3 linked regions of the Astyanax mexicanus genome follow. The protein of the gene in region 1 purifies or fractionates together with the protein of each later gene. This does not show direct contact. Links are inferred from orthologs where the notes say so. Each region holds a gene or a part of one and is shown on either strand. Other genes may lie near its edges.

The links. Proteins that work in one complex are often made in the same cells at the same time.
Region 2: the proteins of timeless (region 1) and tipin purify together in Homo sapiens (affinity purification with western blotting; 6 studies listed by BioGRID and IntAct, counting the BioPlex papers as one, with this or other methods). This does not show direct contact. The link is inferred for Astyanax mexicanus from reciprocal best matches to the Homo sapiens genes TIMELESS and TIPIN.
Region 3: the proteins of timeless (region 1) and claspin purify together in Homo sapiens (affinity purification with western blotting; 4 studies listed by BioGRID). This does not show direct contact. The link is inferred for Astyanax mexicanus from reciprocal best matches to the Homo sapiens genes TIMELESS and CLSPN.

What each region holds. Positions count from the first base shown.
Region 1 is NC_064431.1:13,107,168-13,114,504, reverse strand, and holds the start of timeless (protein timeless homolog), read right to left. Parts: upstream 3,006-7,337; 5' UTR 2,750-3,005; intron 1,729-2,749; exon of another isoform or gene 1,553-1,728; intron 129-1,552; exon of another isoform or gene 84-128; intron 1-83. UniProt on the Homo sapiens protein: Plays an important role in the control of DNA replication, maintenance of replication fork stability, maintenance of genome stability throughout normal DNA replication, DNA repair and in the regulation of the circadian clock.
Region 2 is NC_064430.1:4,940,192-4,947,100, reverse strand, and holds the start of tipin (TIMELESS-interacting protein), read left to right. Parts: upstream 1-3,905; 5' UTR 3,906-4,068; intron 4,069-5,394; 5' UTR 5,395-5,406; coding exon 5,407-5,545; intron 5,546-5,761; coding exon 5,762-5,855; intron 5,856-6,655; coding exon 6,656-6,731; intron 6,732-6,909. Other genes in the region: lctla (lactase-like a), read left to right, coding at 322-385, 1,664-1,779.
Region 3 is NC_064410.1:53,519,393-53,526,391, reverse strand, and holds the start of claspin, read left to right. Parts: upstream 1-3,995; 5' UTR 3,996-4,193; coding exon 4,194-4,217; intron 4,218-4,255; exon of another isoform or gene 4,256-4,278; intron 4,279-5,283; coding exon 5,284-5,398; intron 5,399-5,597; coding exon 5,598-5,932; intron 5,933-6,013; coding exon 6,014-6,175; intron 6,176-6,481; coding exon 6,482-6,541; intron 6,542-6,629; coding exon 6,630-6,702; intron 6,703-6,955; coding exon 6,956-6,999. Other genes in the region: ago4 (protein argonaute-4), read right to left, coding at 767-785.

The DNA of each region.
Region 1 (7,337 bases):
ATGGCATGTCAATCATCATTTCAGTTTTACATTGTTTAAAAAAAGTGTGGCGTGTTTAAAGAATAAATACTTAAAGACTGAACTGTGTGAGTGCTCTTCTGTAACACTGCTGCCAGTCTGCTGTAAACCAGAAGCCGGCAGAGCGATGAGGAAGCTGTGTAACTCAGAGTTATGCAACTGTGACACTTACCCATAATGCTTCTAGTTAACCTACTTTCACTGGAGGAGGGGAGGGGGGTGTTGCTTAGCCCTGTCTATACAACACACCTACTCACCTCAGACACATTTACCAGTAGTAATACCATGTAAACATAGACTACATAGTATATTGCAGCCTAGAGATTCTGACCTCTGAATAGAAAAAATGTAAACAAACATATACACATATTCCATACCGGTGTCAGGAAACAAAAAATATTAAGGTATGGGTCTTATGTGATATGATTATGTTTATGACTTATGTTCCTTAATACAATTGTCTACTAAAACATACAGCTTTGACAATTTGATTTTAATTCATTTTATTTTTAGCTATATTTTTGTATATGATTTGATGATAATATAGTAAAATATAATTGAGACTTTTACCAGATTGTAACACAAGTCAATGTTTTCACATGTTATGATACTAATAATGCACTCCTTATATCCATGTTTAAAGTAAAACACATAATACTGAACAGATATTATCTGTCTCTAATAGATATTAAAAATAAAACTGTGAATTTTGCTTTTGGTACAAACAGTAAAAAACGGTGGCCCACATGGCCCTAAAATAATCTAATAAATAATATCAATATTTCAGGGCATTTTTGCAAAAAAATATTAAGACATTTTTTTTTTACAAATGGCAATATTTTACATAATTTATAAGATACAATATGGCACACCCCTAATATGTGGTATATAATACACTGCATGATGACCATCAGTTATTTGCTTAATATTAATTTAATTATCTGTTTAAAAATGAGGCCAGAGAATATCACCAATATCTTCTAAGTTGAGCTGAAATTTTAAACAAACAATTAACTGATTAATGAAGCAATTATTGAGCATTTTGTGATTCTACCTCAAAAGCTGTGGGACGTGATAGTGATTATATTTGCTGAAAATAATAATAATAATAATAATAATAATAATAATAATAATAATAATAAGAGGAAGATTACACAGAACAGTAGGTTGTCTTTTCCAAACAAACTTAATTAACGTTAGTGGCTAGTTCAAAATATTCACATATGAATATGTGGTCTTAATCTAACATTTATCACCCAGTTACACCGGTCAGCTTTACTTTATTCATTCATTTAAAGCTTGGAACATAACAAAACCACTAATATACAGACATTATACTCCTCCAAAACTTTTTTTTAAAGAACACAAACAGACATTCAGCTAAAATACAGTGTCCTTTTCCTAGCCTTACTAGCTAACTAAGCTAACTAGCTGTGGTTAGCTCGTGAGCTAACCTAAACATATTTAGGCAGCAGGCTAACCGTGAGTTAACTAACTACAGCCTCCAAAACTAAGACAAAAACCCCAAACTTACCAGAGACATCTGGCTTTAAAGTGACAGAAAAATTCTAACAGCCTTTGTCCAACAGTCCTCTCAGTCTAAAACGTTTTACTGAGCCGTTCCAGTGGTTTAAAGGTGGAATATTAAAGTTTCACCACACTACTCCTCCATGGCTGCAGCCCCGGCTTTCCCTCTACAGCCTCATCTCGCGCGCAAATTTTACATTCGCACTCGTTCACAGAATCGATTCATTTGAACAGTCTAACTGATTCATAAATCTGAAGCCTTCATGTTGCTTTATGAATAATACTATAATCATTGAAAATAAAAATTCAATTGGCAATAAAAACGAATATACAAATAATAATAATAATAATAATAATAATCAAAATATTTTACATTTATGTTAAAATAGCAGCCTCGTTTAATCAATTCAATGTATTTTATAAACTGTTTATATACGTTTATATATCTGTTTTGCATGATGTGTCGCACCAAAATAGAATATGAGCATTCCACCTTAAACAGTAAGCGTTACCAGAAACGTTATTTCTAATGAATGAGACTTTGGAGTTACCTTTAATACAGCGTGAACTATTTAAGGTGGAACGTTTAGAGCTGAAAGAAAAGTTGTCAAACAGTAAGACAATTTTATGCTATATTATTATTTTTACTGGACATAAAATAGATTAAAAACTGAATCAACTATGTATTATTGAATGGAGCGATAAACGATTCAGGGCTGAATCAGTGAACTGTTGAATCACTGAATCAGTTCTGTAATGTGAATCAGTCTTTCGTCACTGCCGCGAGTGTCGTCTTTCTTAAAGGTATCGTGACACATTTTCACTGTTAATAAAAAGAGCAAAAAAGTCTGGAGGGCAGGTTTATCCAAGTTATTTCTGATTTATTCATACATAAATAACATGCATTATATCTCTACTGTTGGAGTAGCGCCATTAAAAATAAACATAAATTAAATACATTATTTTTGCTATGCAGGCTATAGTGCAATGGATGATTATACATTTAAAGGATGATTATTAAATAATATTACAGTACACTACACAACGTAGTTTCATATATCAAAGCTGTATTAGCCTATTTTAGCCAAAGCTGACAGTTGACAACTTTTTATCGACCCTCCCTCAGACAGTAAGCACAGACTATTAATATGGATCAATACCACAAATATAGCTCACCTATAATAGCTAACAGTATGACACCTACCTTAATAATATACGGTTCCTGTTGTCAATCAGAAACTCCTTCCCAGTTTCCAGTAAGGGATCATAGAAGAGTATTACAGTAAACTGAAGGATAACAGACAGTCTAACCAGGATTCACACCATTCCAGAAACTGGGATTTCATAGGAACACAGTTTAAAAGTTAATTAAGCGCGATTCCGTAAACAATTTACACACCGTGTGCTTTAACTAGTCTCTATTAAACGCGCTGATTTCACTACAGACAGAATGAGGAGATCTGGAAGAGTTATAGTGGAGTTATTATTAAAGCGCTCCCCCTCTGACATGGATAATGGTTTAATCCAGTCACATTCAGCACTGCGTGACAGCGGCCGCTAGCTGTAACATGACGTCATTACCAATTTCGCATCCCAAACATCCTCGCTAGGACCTAGGCTGAAAATTATCCTCTTTAATTATTTAAGAGAGGAAGTTAATTTATTATTCATTTTTAGTACTTTAAATAAACAATACCAGACAAAATTTTGGACACACCTTACATTCTGTGTTTTTTTTAATTATTTTTAAGTGTTCTACATTGTAGATTAATACTAAAGTCATCCAAACATGGGATTATTTAGTAAACTAAACACTGTAAAACAAACCAGAACATATGTTATTTTTTACACACTTTAAAGTAGCACCTCCTGTTTACATGATAGTTTTCTCAGTTGTAAAGTTGTGAAGAGGTAGAGTTGATATACAGTGAATAGCTCTATTTGAGTAATGTACTAATCCATATTATAGCAAGAACTGCTCAACCAAGTAAAGAAAATAAAATACTTTGAAATAAATGAAATAAAGGTCAGGCAATCCAAAACATTTAAAGAATTTTGAAAGCTGCAGTCACAAAGACCATCAAAAATATTATGATGAAATTGGCACTTATCAGGACCACTCAGGAAAGGGAGAGCAAGAGTTACATGTGTTACGCAGGATAAGTTAATCAAAGTTAACAGCCTCAGAAACCACAAGTTAACAGCACCCCAGATTAGAGCTTAAATGCTTCAGTATTTTGGTTTGTTTAAGTTTATACATGATTTCTTATGTGCTCTGACTATAAATATTACTGTATAATGTAGGGAAAAATAATAAATAAACACATTAAATGAGAAGGTCAAATGTGATCAAATGTATGTGTGTTACAACATTAGCGCCATAAATATGGATTTAATATTAAAACCATTCTCTTTATGTATCTCTGCTTATATATACCTTTTCTACAGCTCTTATCTTTGCATTGCTTGGTGGTTGGTATTGCGTTGTTCAATATTTGCTAGGATGATGCTATGGTATCCCAGATTATTAATATGGTATTGCACAGGAGATAAAACAATGTTGCCAGATTGTTGCTACATGGGTGCTACAGTATTGCTTGGTGGTAAGAGTGTGTTCAGGACCATCTTTTTGGTAGCAGTCATTAATTAGTAAAGCTGTTTAGTGTAGTGTAGTTTAGTGTAGTGTTTCCGTGTGGGTGTATTTAGACAGCTATTTGTGTCCAAAGCTGCTCTGCAGTAAATCTTTTTAGTATCTATTTATACTTAATCTATAGCTCTACAGATAGCAGAGCGACAGAGACAATGGTACACCTGTGAATTTCTGTGTATATTTTTTTACTTTATTCCTAGGTACTAATACCAATAATACATCATTAGCAAAATGTCTCATACTCATTATAATATAGTAATTAAAAACCTTATTTATACTATTGTTTTTAAACTAAAATTAGACCCAGAATATTTTTAGCCTAGGCTGCTTTTATAAGACAAGCATTCTGTATAAAAATATAAAAAAAAAAAATTGACAGCATTTTCTTAGTAATGTGCATGGTGTACTGAAATGTGTGCGATTATTGAAATTTAGGACAGTCTCTAAATTGTTTCATAACACCATTCAGATGCAGCTGTAACAAAACTAACCATAAAATAAAAAGTATTTGATATGAAGAAATAGCATCACTATTAACACATTTTGTGTACCTTTTACAAATATGCTGTTATTTTGCTAATACACTATTGTCAAACATTGACAATATGCAAGAATATTCATAAATGAATGTAAAAAAAATTGTTAATTTTTTGACAGAATATGACTACCTTTTGCATACGTTTTTGGAATTTTTAAGCACAATGTTAGAAGCCTAAATGCACAGAGCTATTCCTCAACCACATGGGGGCAGAAAAGCCTTTTTTACTCTGAGTACAATCCCTGTGACTGGGATCCAAAACATCACATCTCCCATTGTAAAATCATGCTGTGGGTAATTGTCTGAGAGAAGTTGTCTCTGCTGTAGTTATTTCTGTAAATGAGCGTGAGTAATTAGTGAGCATGTTTTCATACTGCCAACTCAACTGCACCTCATCTTCTCCCACTCGGCCTAAACATCTCTCAGTGCTGAAGCTGCTGGGGTAAATTGGAGATGGTTGGAGATGAATTGTAAGGAAGAGTAGTGCAGTAAGTGCAGTGAGTGGATCAGCTAAAGTGCAGTTGCTAAATGTAATCAAATTCTCCCAGCCATGCTGTAAAATCTTGTAGAAATCCTACAGTTAATTCATTTACACCTTTTCATTTCATGTGTCTTGAGTATTAGAATTGTGCCTGAATTTGGTCAAACCACGTACAAATGCAAGTATAAACACACCAATAATCATTTGAGCCACATGTCATATTAGTGTGATCGCATCTGTCTCTCCAAGATGCATTCCACAACCAAAACTCCTCCCAGTACAACAAAACACCAGTAATAATTGCAACAAAACTAGCTAATCTGCATATTTCATCCAAACCAGCAACTACATTTCAGTCTGATTAACTGCAGTTTAGTTAGTTTACTAAGTGGTTAAAATATCATCAGGATATAATCAAGAAACTGGATTTGTTTTATTCAGTTTCTCTACAAATAAAAGCAGGATAAACTCTTTTTAAAACCTGTGACTATAAACAAAACAATGAATACACAGGTGTTCCAATACTTTGGTCCATGTATTTTTCTAAAAATGTACAGTTTTTTTTGTCCTACCAGCTTTTTGTGAGTGTATGAATGAACCAGGTCAGATTAGGTACTAGTGTGTACTATATGTATTTAAATGAGATGGATTTAAGTGTTGATTGAACCCAGCAGATCTAGATAAATAAATGAACAAAAGTGACTGTCTCTTCTTTTCAGAGAAGTCGTTCTACTAGATTTTGGAGCAGCATCGCTGTGAGGATTTCAGGAACAAGCGTTTAGAAAAACACTATACCAAAAGTCATAGGACAATTTTCTTGCCCAGTCATTTTTGAACTGTCCCATAGAAGATAAAAACACTACACTGAAGTGCAGGAAATGCATGGATGTGGAATCTGGAGTTCATAAGGACAATTCCAGCCAGACACTGCAGGACATGACAATTACCTCCCATTCCAAAATAGAATATCCCATCCATGCATACTCTATATCAGGCCTCGCTCCAACTCCCATAATTCGCGTCAACTTGAACACTGGACAGTGTTCAACAATACATCCTCACTCATAAGATAACACCTCAACATTTTATTATTTTTTAAATAATTTTTACAATTTACATACTGCAGTCTGATGGCTTTTGGCAGGTCAGTGTTTTGATTTTATCTGACAGAAGCCCGTCCAAGACCTTTAACTAAAGCCTTAAACTCCACCGCCCGCCCCACCAACTAGCCTCTATTCTCACCTGTAATATTCATCTAATGATGGACTGATGTTGAGGCCCTGGCTTTATCATGAGAAAAGAAGAGCTGAAATAATGACCATAATAACTTTAATATCCCACTTGACATTTGAGAAAAAAATCATTTTTTCAATAACCAAGGCTCTTGAAGCTGCCCCACGGTGGCGATTAAATACCTTCATATGCTCCTACTTGTATTCTCTCTGCAGCTTTATTGTTCTCACACTTTTGGATGGAAAAATAACTCTGTGATAGCGAGAAGCCTACAATCAGTCATGATGATCCAACATCCTGGTATCAACTAACATTCCTTTCACTGAATACAATCAAATGCTCACAGAAAAGCTGCAAAATTCTGTAAAAAGACTTAGAGGAGGTGGTCTGAGACAGATTTTAAAGGGACACCATTCCAATTCCTTAAACCACTTCAGAATATGGTCTGAGACGCATTTAAAACAGACACAAATCCAATCGCTCAAACCAATTCAGAGAATAATATGAGATGCATTTAAAATGAACACATATCTAATTTCTTAAACCACTTCAGGAGGTTGTCTGAGACCCATTTTAAACAGGCAAAAATATGACCCCTCAAACCACCTCAGGAGATGTTGTGAAACGCATTTAAAACAGTCACATATCAGATCACTAAAACCACCAACTAAATTATATATATAGATATAACCAATTTTGATAAACTACATTAACTCTTTGAATCCTAGGTTTGGATTTCAGACTAAACAATGAGTATCTGTCACCCAATAACTGAATGGGTGATAACACTCATATACTAGTGTCTGTCTCACGAAGCTGCCTCATGGTGGCAGTTTGGTGCCCTCGTATCCTTGAATTCTCTCTGCAGCTTTATTGTTCTCTCTCATTTG
Region 2 (6,909 bases), on another chromosome or scaffold:
TATCGATTTTTAGATTACTACATTATTTCAACAAACCAACTGTCCTTTATACTATGTGACAATTTCTTGATAAATGGACCAATAGAATTTCTTCAAAATGAAATAATCTGTTTTTACATTGAAAATTACACTTCCATTGAAATTTACGAAGGTTTTATCTCTCTCCTGTAAAGTTGCTGTTTTGGAGATACTTGTTTTTCATTGGACAGCAATGATATAATTTTTATTACTTTTTTACAGTATAACATATGTGTTTTTTTGTAGATTTTGTAGCTACTTGTTAATGGTGTTAATGGTGTTAATGGTGTGTATCCTCTACAGATTGAGAGCTGGAGAAGGAAGGCGACAGAAACCTGTACCTCCAGTAATCAGCTTTTAGCAGCAGGTCAGTATCCCTGAGCTTTCAGCTTTAACACACCGTTATGAGCTTAACTGTGGTCTAAATGGGGCAAATACAAGAAAACCTGTTAGTATAGAGTTTAAACTGGTGCATAAACACAGAAATCACTTATCTGTGAATATCTGTAGCTTGTTAAAATGAGGGGAAATCTGGCAAATAGGATGGCTTTTTTGGGGGTGGAATATTACATAAAAAGGGGCAACATCTCTAACGGGAATTTTCTTTTGTTTGCCCCTCCAGCTAGAAGAAAATCCAAGGAACATGCAGAAATGCCAAAGGTTTGGCCAGTGCATGATGAAGTTTAGGTACTAGGGACTACAGTTTTTTTAGAGCGACCACATGTCTTTTTGCATTGTGAAAAAAAACTTTAAAATCTATTTTCCATTGATTTTACACTGACACATATTCTGAATGTGAATTTTCCAGCTTTAAACAGAATTTTCCACCTTTTTAACCAGATTATTGGTCTAAATCTACCTGCATTTTCATAAATAAACATCAATTGGATGAATTTAAAACATTTTTGGCTTTCTAATTGTTTTTTTTAATTAATACATTAATTTAAGTTTAGTTCTTATAATTCCTAAAATAGGTTTGTGCTAAATATAATGCTAAAATGTTAAATAAATGTTATACAAACGATATATAAAACTTTTATTATTCTTATTCTTTTTACTATAACATACAACATTTTTGCTCTTTTTTATGTTATTCTTTTTATATTTGCATTTTAAGATTTTCATAACCCTTATCTCTACATACAAATAAAATAAAAAAAATATTATTAAATCTTCTCACCCCTATTATTGCTCTAAATCTACCTGTGTTTAAATCAACTGATTGATAGGCATCAATCTGTTTGATTTTATTAGACTTAAAATATAAAAAAAAATGTAAATGAATACATCATTTTTTGCAATATTTTGTGTGCTAATAATGCTTAAATGCTAAATATATGTTATATAAATGATTCTTAAATTAAAACTTATTAAAATATTATTATTTAATAGTATTATTATATTATTATAATATGTTTTATATTTTATTTTTTTATAACACTTAATAATTAAAAATTACTGCTCTCATAAGTGATGTGTAAATGAATTCTAATGCTTTTATATGATCATTGCATCATTATATCAATGGAATAAAATGGTTAAACAATGACAATAAATTTATTTATCACTATAATGTGTAAAATAACTGGTAATTTTGAAAGGCCTAGTCTAAAACTGCACTTTAATTCTGTTTTTATGATTTTAGATCCTCTCACCAGCCACATGGAGATGGTGACGGAGATCGTGGTTCCCACTGTGTGCACCCTGTGTATTCTCATCTGTGCTATTTTCCTCATGTTCCTGCTGAGAGGTCGCCTGTAGGCCTCGTTCTGACCCTACCTGACCCTTCCCGCTCCTTTCTCCAGTCTGTTCAGTCCATTCCTCCTCACCTGTGCTCTCTGTGAGACTAACTCTACCTGCTGAAGATGCTGAAGATACGCAAGATTCTGGTTCTGAAGCTGCTGTGAGCAAACCGGTTCCCTGGAAAACGTCCTGTTGGATTATATCTGCATACACGCAAATTCCTCAGTGGATAGCTAGAGGTTTGGTGTTTGATATGAGGTGATAAATGGGTGGATGAATATATGAAAATATGAAATATCTTTTTTAAAAAGCATATTTTCATAGCTTTAATGTATGTTTTTTTGTAATATACAGTCATGGCTGAAAATTGCTGAAATTTTTCCACAAAATAAAATATTTCTCATAGAAAATTATTGCAATTACACATGTTTGGTTTTATACATGTTTATTTCCTTTGTGTGTATTGAATCAACACACAAGAAAAATGAGAGAAAAGGTCAAAAATTGCTATAATTTAATGCAAAACTCCATAAATTAGTTGGACAAAATTATCCATTTGGATGGTTTAGAGGCTTCCTATAACCATCAACAAGTTTCTTTCACCTGCTCCAGGTCTCTTATATTTGAATGCTTTCTTCTCCCAACATAAATTTTAGGATCTCTCCAAAGCTGTTCAATTGGATTTATATCTGGACTTATTGCTAGTCACTTTTTAAACTAAGTTTTGGGGTCATTGTCTTGCTGGAAGACCCAATTTTTACCTTTTTGTTCTCCGTTTCTTTTGTGTTGCTCCAATACACACAAAGTAACAAATAAACATGTGTAAAACATAACATTGTGTGATTGCAATTTTTATGGGAGAATTACTTAATTTTCTAGAAACAATTCAGGGGTGCCAACACCTTTGGCCATGACTGTTTCTTAAGTACAGTGGGGATTAAACAGAGCGATTCTGTGAAATAAGATACTGAAAGTAATGCTCAGTTAATAATAAAGACATGTATCATCTACAGTAAATATTAAATAAAGGTTTAATAACCCTGTGTATTTTCATTGTCTTTATCTACATATTTTAAAAATAAACTAAAGAGAACTTGTAGATGTTAGTTGCTGCAGAGTAAGAGCTCTTAGAATTAAGATAAGAAAGTATATAATTTTATTTGATGATACTTAGCCCAGTAACAGGCGCTAGGTGGCGCCATGTCCATTGTTAACATGGTGAGGAGCAGAGCAGCCGCAGCTCTTGAGCAATACTCAATACAAAATGCAAAAAAAAAAAAAAGAAAGAAAAAGAAACGGTTAATTTCTCCTGAAATTGTGTTAAAAAATCATTATTTATTTTTAAATTTAAATGTATTATAGAAAAGAAAGAATGAATTTTCATCTTTTTTTTCTTCTTTTTTTTCATTTCTGACTCTCAAAATCTGAATTCCTGGAAAAAAATATATTGTGTAAATGTTTTATTTTATTTTAATAGTTTATTTAACAGGGACAGTGTACATTAATTAACATTACTGTAAATGCACCAGAATTAGCCTAAAGGCTATTTTTCATCCGTTGTCCCTGAAAAAAATCTAGATTTTCTTTCCTGAAATTCTAATTGCAATTCAGTAATCTATTTTTTATGACCCTTATAATCTAAATTCTGGGGGAAAAAATATTTTCTAATTTTCTGAGGGATGTTGTGACAAAAAATCTGATGGTACAATACAGCCTTTTTTTCTTTTTTTTTTTTTTCATTTTTCCTGAAATTCAGATTGTGAGGGGCAGAAATGAAAAACTTTGAAAACTATTTATTATAGTAAAGAACAAATTAATTGTCATCTATCTTTGGCGTTGGTTATCTATTTTATAAAACAGATGGAATTAAATGTGGATGTAAAACTTGCATTTCATCTGCTTTTCCAAATTTCTACTTTTTTATATCTGCCCCTCACAATCTGAATTCTAGTGAAAAAATTGCGTAAATCAAGTAAAGATTTTTTTTTCATTTGTCCTGGGTTATAAGGGGTAGAAATAAAGATATAATATATTATACATTTATTTATATTATAATGTATTTACTGAAAGGGCTGAGCTGAGCTTATCCGGGTCAGTAGGGGACGGTAACGCGCCTACAGCAGCTCCATTACCCGCTATAAACACTGATACCATAGATACAGCAGCTGCTGCTGCACTCCGCGGGCAGAGGGAGCGATACGACCGGGGTACTGATAATTAACCCGGGATAAATCAGCGGAACGGACGGCAGTTCAGCTCTAAACCGGCAGGAATTACTGATCTGCAGCCTGTCAGATCTTCAGCTCGGTATGGAACCGTATATCCGCGGTTATCCGGAGTTTAAGTGGTTTATTCAGCGCTGGATAACACTGCTTACAGAAGCTAAAGCTAACTAAACTATAAAAGCGCGGGAAACTGGGTCATATAGAGAGCTAATAACAGCATAACCAGCATGGAATACCTTATATACCCCATACTAACTTAATTACACTGTGTGCGTAGGCTGGCAAAGTGTATATTTTCCGAAAAAAGGCTTGAAACTGAGTCACAGTTAGCCTAGCTTAGCTTTTGTTGCCGCCAAACTGCTTCCCTGTTCAACGTTATTATTTTTTTTTTTTTACCTATTTTTGTAACCAATAGAATCGGTCGTTGTCAGTCACGTGTGTTTACTATGCGTAAGCGCCATATTTAAGGTATAGTAAAGTGTATAGCAGCACAGTACAGGTGTTAGAAACTACAATGTTTTTGTAATGTTTTGAGAATTTAAAGCAATAAAACCAGAGAAACAGGATTAAAGTGTGGAAATAGCGCCCCCATACGAGCTGAGCGAAGATGACCTTGACTTTTATTTGGATTAATTAGCTGTAGTCAGAGGTGTCGACTACTGGTGGACGATATGGCCCTTAAATAATATCACAGTATTTCATGGTATTTTCGTGATAACAATTGAATTAAAATAATTTCAAAAATGCACTACTGCAACAAAATGAAAATTACATTTTATTATTGCATACGAAAAAAATATTAGAATTTAATCAGATTTGTTACAGAAGTCAATGATCCAGAATATCATGATGCTAGTAATGCACTTTGTAAATCTCGATATATCCAAGATTAAAGTAAAATAAATTATCCTGGAACGATATAATCTGTGTCTAGTAGATATATAATGGTAAATGAGAACAGTGTGAATTTTTCTTTTACTAAAAACAGCAAAAAAGTAGTACCCTGATAATTAGGGGTGAGTGATATGGCACAATATTTTAGGGTATAATATCGTTCACCATATTCAAAAATGTTTGCAATGTGATTGAGTATGATACAATTTAGCACACCCTAAGTGTTGATTTAATGAACTACAAATACTTTTAAAATGGAAAAAAAAAAACATTTTAAAACAATTTTTCAGATTTCTTTTTACTTTTGCAACCTACTTTTCACACCATTATCTGTCCTTTCTACTTGTTAAAAATGTGAAACAAACCGGTGTATGCGTTAATTTATTTTTTGTCTATTAGAGACAGTATAACCTAATACATAGCAAACTCATGTGGGGAGATTAATTTACACAGCTGTCACCAGTATTTCTTTTTTTTTTTTTTTTTATCTTAATGAATTATCATCTCTCTCCAGGGGCTTCACACCATGCTGGATCCATCAGAAAATGGTTTGTTTGACATCCCTGACTACGATCAGATAGAAGATGAGTCATTTCCCCCTCTGCCTCCACCCCTGTCTCCTGGAGAGGGAAACCTGGAAGGAGACCCTTTTGCCAATGGAGAGGGTAAAAGCTTATGTTTTTTTCTTTTTCATAATATATTGTCCCAGAAATAACTGTGGTTAACATTATTATCATAATTTTGGGTCGATGTTGTGCCTCATATCATATAATTATACAATTATAGTATGATATTGCAAATAGAAAAATGGTTGTTGGACGTTGGATGGTATTTTTTACGATAAGTTGATAAAACGATGATTGTATTCTGTGTGCGTTTAGGTGAGGCGGAGGGCGAGGTGTCGAAGCTACCTGAAGTTCCAGTTGCCAAAAGGCGAACCGTCAAGAGGCCTCAACCTAAACTAGACTCTCAGAGGTATTAATGTTATGTTGAGTTTATTATTTTAGGAAGCATGTGTCTTACTAGAGCTGGATAAATATGATGATGATATAAATTTTCTTATCGCATCGACAATAAGCATGTCAAGGACTGAACTGTACATTTTAATACAGAGTGTAAAAATCCTGTTTAATTGGATGATGTGCAAGAAAAATTAAATAAGAATCACTGTACTATACATGCAAGAGCATTTTAAGAGTAACGTAGCAGAATCTGCCACTGCTGATGCATTTTGTCTGTGTGTCAAAATATGGTGCATAATGTGTATTGAAAAATGCTTTTCAGTTTGTTTTTATGTACACATAGAGTGGTGAATATAGTGATCATATCAATATCTGAATGGTATCGTGTTGACAGATATACAGCTCTGAGAAAAAATTTGAGAGCACTTCAGTTTCTGAATCAGTTTCTCTATTTACAGGTTTATGTTTGAGTAAAATGAACATTGTTGTTTTATTCTATAAACTACAGACAACATTTCTCCCAAATTTTAAATAAAAATATTGTCATTTAGAGCATTTATTTGCAGAGCTTTTAGGCCTCAAATAATGCAAAGAAAACACGTTCATCCATCTTCCTCTTGATTATATTCCAGAGGCTTTCAATTTGGTAAAATCAGACTCGTCATTTTTAAGTTCTCTCTTATTTTTATTTTTTCCCAGAGCTGTATATTGTGATATCAAATTTTGCCACGCCCCGCTATATGTCTCTATAACAACTAATGCCTGATATCTGCAGTACTTTCCAGTCTGTCTCTCCCTCTCTTTCTAATACAGACTAACATCTGAACGAGGACTTCCAGCCCTGCGGACGTTATTTGATAATGTCAAGTTTAAGGGCAAAGGACATGAGGTACACTACACTATATGATCTCTCTGAAAATCTAGTAGAAAAACTTCTATGGATAGAAGAGACAGTTACTCCAACAAAATCAAAAACTCTCTTTAATACCCTTGATTTCAGTTGAATCAGTGAATGAGCAGGTGTCCCTATACTTTTGTCAGTATAGTGTACCTAATCATTGAATTAA
Region 3 (6,999 bases), on another chromosome or scaffold:
TCGCAAAATAATCTAAAATATTGTGAAATTACATTGTTTTAGGGCCATATCGCCCACCCCTATTATGGAAACCATGTATGTTATTGTGAAACAAGCGTCGACATTATGTCCAGCATGGAGGGACCCTGTCCAGAGTGTGGAAGTGGCGCGGAAAGCCCTGTCAACACGGCGTCCAACACAGTATATCCCCCACTGACCATATTTAGCTAACTAGACCATGTGCTTGGAGCAGCAAGACTCAAATTAATGACTGTAGAAACGTGTAAAAATATCCTGGTCTCTTTCGTAGGGTTAAAATTTGATAAAAACCCATTTTGAGGCATAAATAACCTAAGCTACAAAACAAACGAGCACACAGCAGCGTATACAACACGACCAGGAAGAAAGAGGAGCTGCTTCGGTTAAATCCCCCTCCTCGCTCGGCAGCACAATGCCGTCCTGCTGCCTTCCGCACCGCTGTGTGTCTATGTGTTTGTGTGTGAAGCTGCTGCATTGCCGCGACGCTACACAACAAATACCTGCCCAGATGCCTCACACACACACACTTGTTGACCCTCTGACTACATTGTTAATCTTGTCTGTCTGTGATATAAACCAAACAAGCGGTTCTGGTTCAGCTGTGGCGAGCGGACGCGGCCCGACCGCCCCGTTTGTTTTCGCCTCTGCTCGGCTAGGCCTACTCGGGCAGCCGCAGACCACGGCCCCCAGTGAGGAGGCGCGCCGGCCTGCCTGCGCTGTCACTCGGCTTGACTCTTTTGCAGCTTACCGGGTCCGAGCGCTTCCATGGCCGAGGGCTCTCTCTCCGTCTCTGTCCCGGCCTGGCGGCTCCGTACCGACACTGAAATTGGGGGCGGTATCTCGAAGCTTAAGGTGACTAATTTGAGAAATGGAAGGATGCGTATAGCTCGTCAGGGGACCGAACTCGGGCTTCGCTGCGTTGTGTGATTTAAAGCGGATCCGTGGGATTTGTAAGTGCGCATGTGCTGGAGCTGGGAGGGTCCTAACGCGCATGCGCGCTTCTGGAACCTTAATGGTAAAAGCTGCGGTTCCAGGCAAGCCCCCAGCTGTAGTTTTTTTCTTTGGAAATATATTTTAAATACATTTTTAAACTTACTTACAAAATCAAACAAACTATCAACATACAAAAGTGATATTAAACACAACATATTACAGATGATACACTACTGATAATTATAGTAAATAAAAATCTGTAAAATAATCCCATAGTGGATTTATCTTCAGGCAATCCCAATTATTGACAAGATAAAGATAGGGTGACCATATTTGGTTAAATACATGTGTTAATAAATATATAATACAATTCTATATTATTCTATATGAAACAACATTATGCTAGGTCTTAACAGAGGGAACCATATCACTTATCCAAGACAATAAGATAAACGCCCTTGCTCCATAAAGCTGCAGGTTGAATAATGTACAGGTAGAAACAAATAGATATATACTTTATCCATCCAGAAGGAAATGTAGGCATACAGTAGCTTGAAACAACACAATGCAATAAATATGCTCAGGGAACACACAGGAGAGAAGATAGCTAGATATACAAAGGGTATAATGAAAACTTTGGTAGAGCAGTGCAGCAGAAGATGGCGCAATCGTCCAATTAACAATCTACACAGCAAAAGTGCAAGATGCAAATGACATGTACCCATATGTGCATACCCATTCACACGTTTAGATGAGTAAATGCCACTGTAGTTTGACTGCACCAGAGATTAGAGGAGGAACGAAATGCCTAATGGCTCGTTAATGGCTCTGAGGGAAGGACTTAGGCGGACAGACCACATATTTACACAAAAAAAAGATTTAGGTAACCAATTAAGGTAACTTAATATTGCAGCATATATAATAGCTGATTACTCTAGTTACGTATTAATTAACTGTAGCATAAAGCGAATGGTATGGTAGAGTGCAGTTCACCTTATCACGCTACACTTCTAATAATAAGTCCACAAGCAGTTAACTTAACGCGCATGCGCGCTACTGGTGAGTATTGGCGTTCCAGGAAAGCCATCGGCTGCAGTTTTAATAAGTTACAGCTTGAAAAGGGAGGATTCAAGTGGACCGACCCCACACAGTTTACACAGGAAAAAAGCTATTGTCTATAAGGTAATGTTGCAGCATATATTGTAGCTAGGAATTTACACACATCTGCTGCAAATAAACAGAGGAGGTTGGTGGAGTGAAGTGTAGTGGACACCACGCCACGCCAATAGGAGTTCTTGGGCAAGACTCCCAACAATACATTCTCTTACGACTGTAAATGTAAGTTACTCAGTATAAGAGCAGCAACCAAATGCTGTAAATGAAAATGTAAGTATAAAATCTGTGGAACACTAGTTGTGGGGCGCAATTCCTTACCTGTTCAAAGCCAGCAATGAAGATTGTAAAACTTATTTGATATTTGATGGAAAGTGCCTCAGTCTTTTTTCCATACTGACTTAATTACCGGCTTGTAAGCGTTTAATTTGACTTATGACTGGGCAGATGTCTTTGTTTGTCCTTTGCAACAAACCGAAAAACAGGGGTGAGCAATGTCTTCATCCAGTAAGAAACATCAGTGGTATGCACTTAACATGTGTTGAGTGTGGATAAGACTAGGCTAACAACTAGTTAATGTACAAACAGTTTTTGTAATGAATTGAAAATATTTGTTAAGTATTTAAATTTTTAAAAGTCTGTGTTCATTAGATTTTAAAAAAAGAAATTGTCAGTTTAGAAACCTTTAATGCGTGAATAGGCTAAGCTGTTTTAGCTTAAAAGCTGATAGCACCTTAACTTACGTTTTTACTGTAGATCAATGTTATGCATTCCCCCCAAGTAGAATTTCTAATTTCTGTTGTTTTACGATATGTTTATTGTTAAAATGAGATATACTGATCTGTAAAGTTATCTTGATTCAGTGGTATTGCTAAGATGACAAATATGTAATTTGACCAGTCACATTGCCAGGAAGACATCCTTATGTATTTTTTACCAATACAGTCTAAATTGTAACTATTGCAAGTGCTAATTTATTTATATGCAATGAAGATATTTGTAGTAAGTTTAAGATCTCCAAAATGTTTTTGGTAAGGTATCGCTAGTAAAATAACTAGTCAAATAGGACTGTCAGAATGATTTTTATAGATATGTAGTAGGGCTGAGTGATCTTGTAAAAATATTATGTCATATGTTCTTGCATAACAACTTCAGTTTTTTATTATTTGTGGACAGGCAGCTTTTTTTGCCAATACACCTCCCCCCTTACATGCAGGTTTTTTTAAACACATTGCATAAATAACCTCCTTGTATTTCAGTTACGCAAAAGTGTAAAATATGAAAATCACTGCCATGGAAAAGAGTTCTTTACACATTTCTGACAGAAGCACAAACCTGCCTACTGTGATTCCCTCTGGCAGCTTATAATGTAAATATGTACAATCTCGAATATCCCATTTTGAAAATCACATTAAAACAGTGTGTGTGTGTATATATATATATATGTATATATATATATATGTATATATATATATATATATACATATATATATATATATATACATATATATATATATGTATATATACATATATATATATATATATATATATATATATATATATATATATATATATATATATGTATATGTATATATACTTTTAGTAACATTAGTCATTATCTGTACATCTGATATTATTATTAATATTACTAGTAAAATAATTCACCTTTGGTATCTGAAATTAGCACTTTTTCTATTAGGAAATCCTATTGCAGAGGTTTTAAAGTTTAGTTTTACCAGTAAAAAGATTTATTTTTATACAGCAGCAAAACAACACAATGAGCTATTGAAAACAACGCGCGCTTCCTATTTTAAAGATCTGCCCAATCAGCGCGAATTTAGCACGCTGGGGATCCGGTTGACCAATCAGAGAGCTCGGCAGCGTTGACGGACGGGAGCAGGAGAGGCACGGCTGTGCTGCGCGCGAAAGGTTGAAATTGTATTCGGTTTGGAGGATCCGGCGGGAGAGGAGCTCCGGTTTCGCGCTTTACTGATCTATTATTTAAAGTTCTCGGGTAGATATCGCGCGAATTAGTCGCTGTCGGGTTAACTGCTGTTTTTAGCCGCTGCTGGAGACGGTTTCTGCTGTTTTGATGAGTTTTAACACCGAATAAAAGAAGCGGACAAAAGATGAGCCTGCTTTCCGCCGAACGGGTAACTATAACTATCACGCAGCCGGGGACGGGCAGATGTATATCAGAGCTATGTTAAATATGTAGGTTATTATGTAGAAATTTTGTGCTTTTTAACTTTGGAAACGCATATAGTTAGGTTGCTAACTGTTGTCACATTAATCACACGTAGGTTAGCCAGCTAGCTAGGTAACCTAGCTATTTGACTTGGCTTGGTGGGTAGCAAGTTAGCTAGGTTAGCTATTTTGTTAGCTCGCTCGCTAAAGGCTGGTTAAATCTCTTTGTTAGCTTGTTTGCTAGCTATATTTTGGATTAATTAAATTGTTTGTCAGTTTATTGTACATTAATTCACAAATGCTGCTCCTGTTTGTACTATAGCTGAAGGTCAGTTAATCTCGGTTAGCTATAACTAGGGGTTTACGTGTGTACAAGGTGCTTGTGGGCTACATGAAGGTTAACCATTCAGCTCCCAGAATGCAAAACAAATAAAGACAAGTATCTATCTTATACTATTGATTTAATGGTAAAGTAGAAAAAGTGGATGGCAATTTGTAGTTGTTCTGCAGTGTTATGTTTAAATAATAGTTCATTTCTTCACATGATTGACCTTAATAAATAGATCAGTTTATTAATCCCAGATGATACAAAATTGGTAACCAGCAGATTAGCAGATGCAATCTTTAGATAAGAAGTGTACGGTCAAAATCTATATAAGAAAAAGAAAAATACAGGAAATATTGTGTAAGCTAGCTACAAAGTAGTATAAAACAGTATATAACAGAAAGTGTCTGCATTGTAAAGATTCAGTCATGTACAACCTGAATGAATGTACATGGTAAAAACGGTGGAATGATCTTTAGTACAGTATGATTACTGTTGTTAAAAAACAATCTCCAGTACCATTAATCAGGCTTATTTACTATAAATGTGTAACTGTAAGGATTTTTCACCAACCTTATCACTATCTCTCTTGTCTTTTTGGCCAATCGACCAGACACCTTTGTGTTTATTATCTGCCAGCCTAATTTTTACATTTAAAAAGTAACATAAATATCTTTTTAACACTGACTTCAATGTTTGCTCTACAGCCCGTGGATCTCCCTGTAGAGAGCCCCAAGGCTGACAGTGACTCAGACAGTGGAGTAGGTTCACCAATGGAGGATGCTGTGACTGAAAAGAACACTGCCACTGAGGCCCAAGGAGGTAATCTAAAAGTACTAAAAGTATTTGTGTGCAAGTAATTTAAAATTTGCTTTCTGAAACAGGAAGTCTATGTTATGATGCACATTTTGTGTTCTCTAGTTTTGCCAGTATTATTTACAGGCTTTTATAAAGCTAGGACATGGCTATTTTCAGTCTGTCATTGTATTATAAAGACTTATTTTACTATTTTGTGCTCCAGATTCTGATGAAGACATTGCTGTCAACCGGAAGGCTCGTTCTCGAAAGGTCCTTGAAGACAGTGACAGTGAAAAGGAGGAGGAGGTGACAGGGATGGCAGAAGCTCTCGTTCTTTCAGAATCTGGTGAGGAGGAGACCACAGAGGGTGATCGAGTCAAAAAAAGCCGGGGGAAAAGGATATCCCGTATTTCCATGGACAGTGATGAGAGCGAGCCAGAGAAAGATGAACCTAAGGAAGAGAAGAAAAAGAGGGGGAAGTCACAGAGACGCAAGGAAAAGGAGAAAAACAGAGGTTCTCTAGTGAAGCGTTTGAAAGAGAAGTCGGGCGCTGTTGAAGTAAGTTAAATTTAATCATTTCTGAATTAAGTATCAAAATATGTAGTCCATTTTTGACCATAATTAATTCTCTATTTTCAGGCGACCTCTTCGGGCAAGGCTCTCAATGATAGCGGCTGCCTACTTGGTGATAATGATCTATTTGATGCTCAGCTGGAAGATGACACAGCTGATGGGGAGATGGAGGAAGCAGAGTCTCTAGATGCAATTAGAGATGCTGTGAAGCAGAAGGCCAGGCACAAGGTGGGAACAGGGTACTTTCCTGAAGGGTATCAGTTCTGATCTAGAACCTGCTTTTATGTTAAGTAGTAATGTTTGCAGGGAATTTGAAGAGAAGTGGGCATATAAGGAAATTTGAATTCACCAGTTAGGGTGTACGATATAGAATAAATATCACAATATTTGTACACAATATTTGTGATTGTAAACAAAATGTATGATTATCATTAGATTCTTAAAGGCTGCTACTCAAAAACTGTACTGTGTTTAGTACAGTGATTGTCCCAAATTCACTTTAAAATGACAGTTATTTGTTTAACCTACCTGCAGCTCCATTCTCATGACATGGAAGATGATGAAGTCAATGAAGAAGACTGCTCGACGCGTAAGGTATAAGGCGCTTATTTGTCTTTCTTTTTTAACTTCCCCTTCTCCACTGTTAATTTGTGAAGCTAATTGATTTGGATAATGTTCTCAGGAGAGAAAAGCAGCAAGAGCAAGTAAGGAGGCCATGAAACAGCTCCACAGTGACAGCCAGCGGCTTGTGAGAGGTTAGTAAATAGCTGATAAGTGGGTGAATCATTCCCATTTTAATCGCTTTTTAGTCACATGCATATGCTTGGACTGATGGTTTAGACAATTAAATTAGCCACTATTAAAGATATGAAACTTATTAGAATTATATAACTGTACAGAAGCATTTGATGGGCTTTTTGTTTTTCTAAACTGTAATTTAACATGTGATTTGGGTACTGAGGTTCTTTTTAAGCTCTTACTAATCTTGTGGTATCTCTTTGTTTTCAGAATCTACTATAGGGCTACCATACCACATGCCGGAGCCAAAGGGC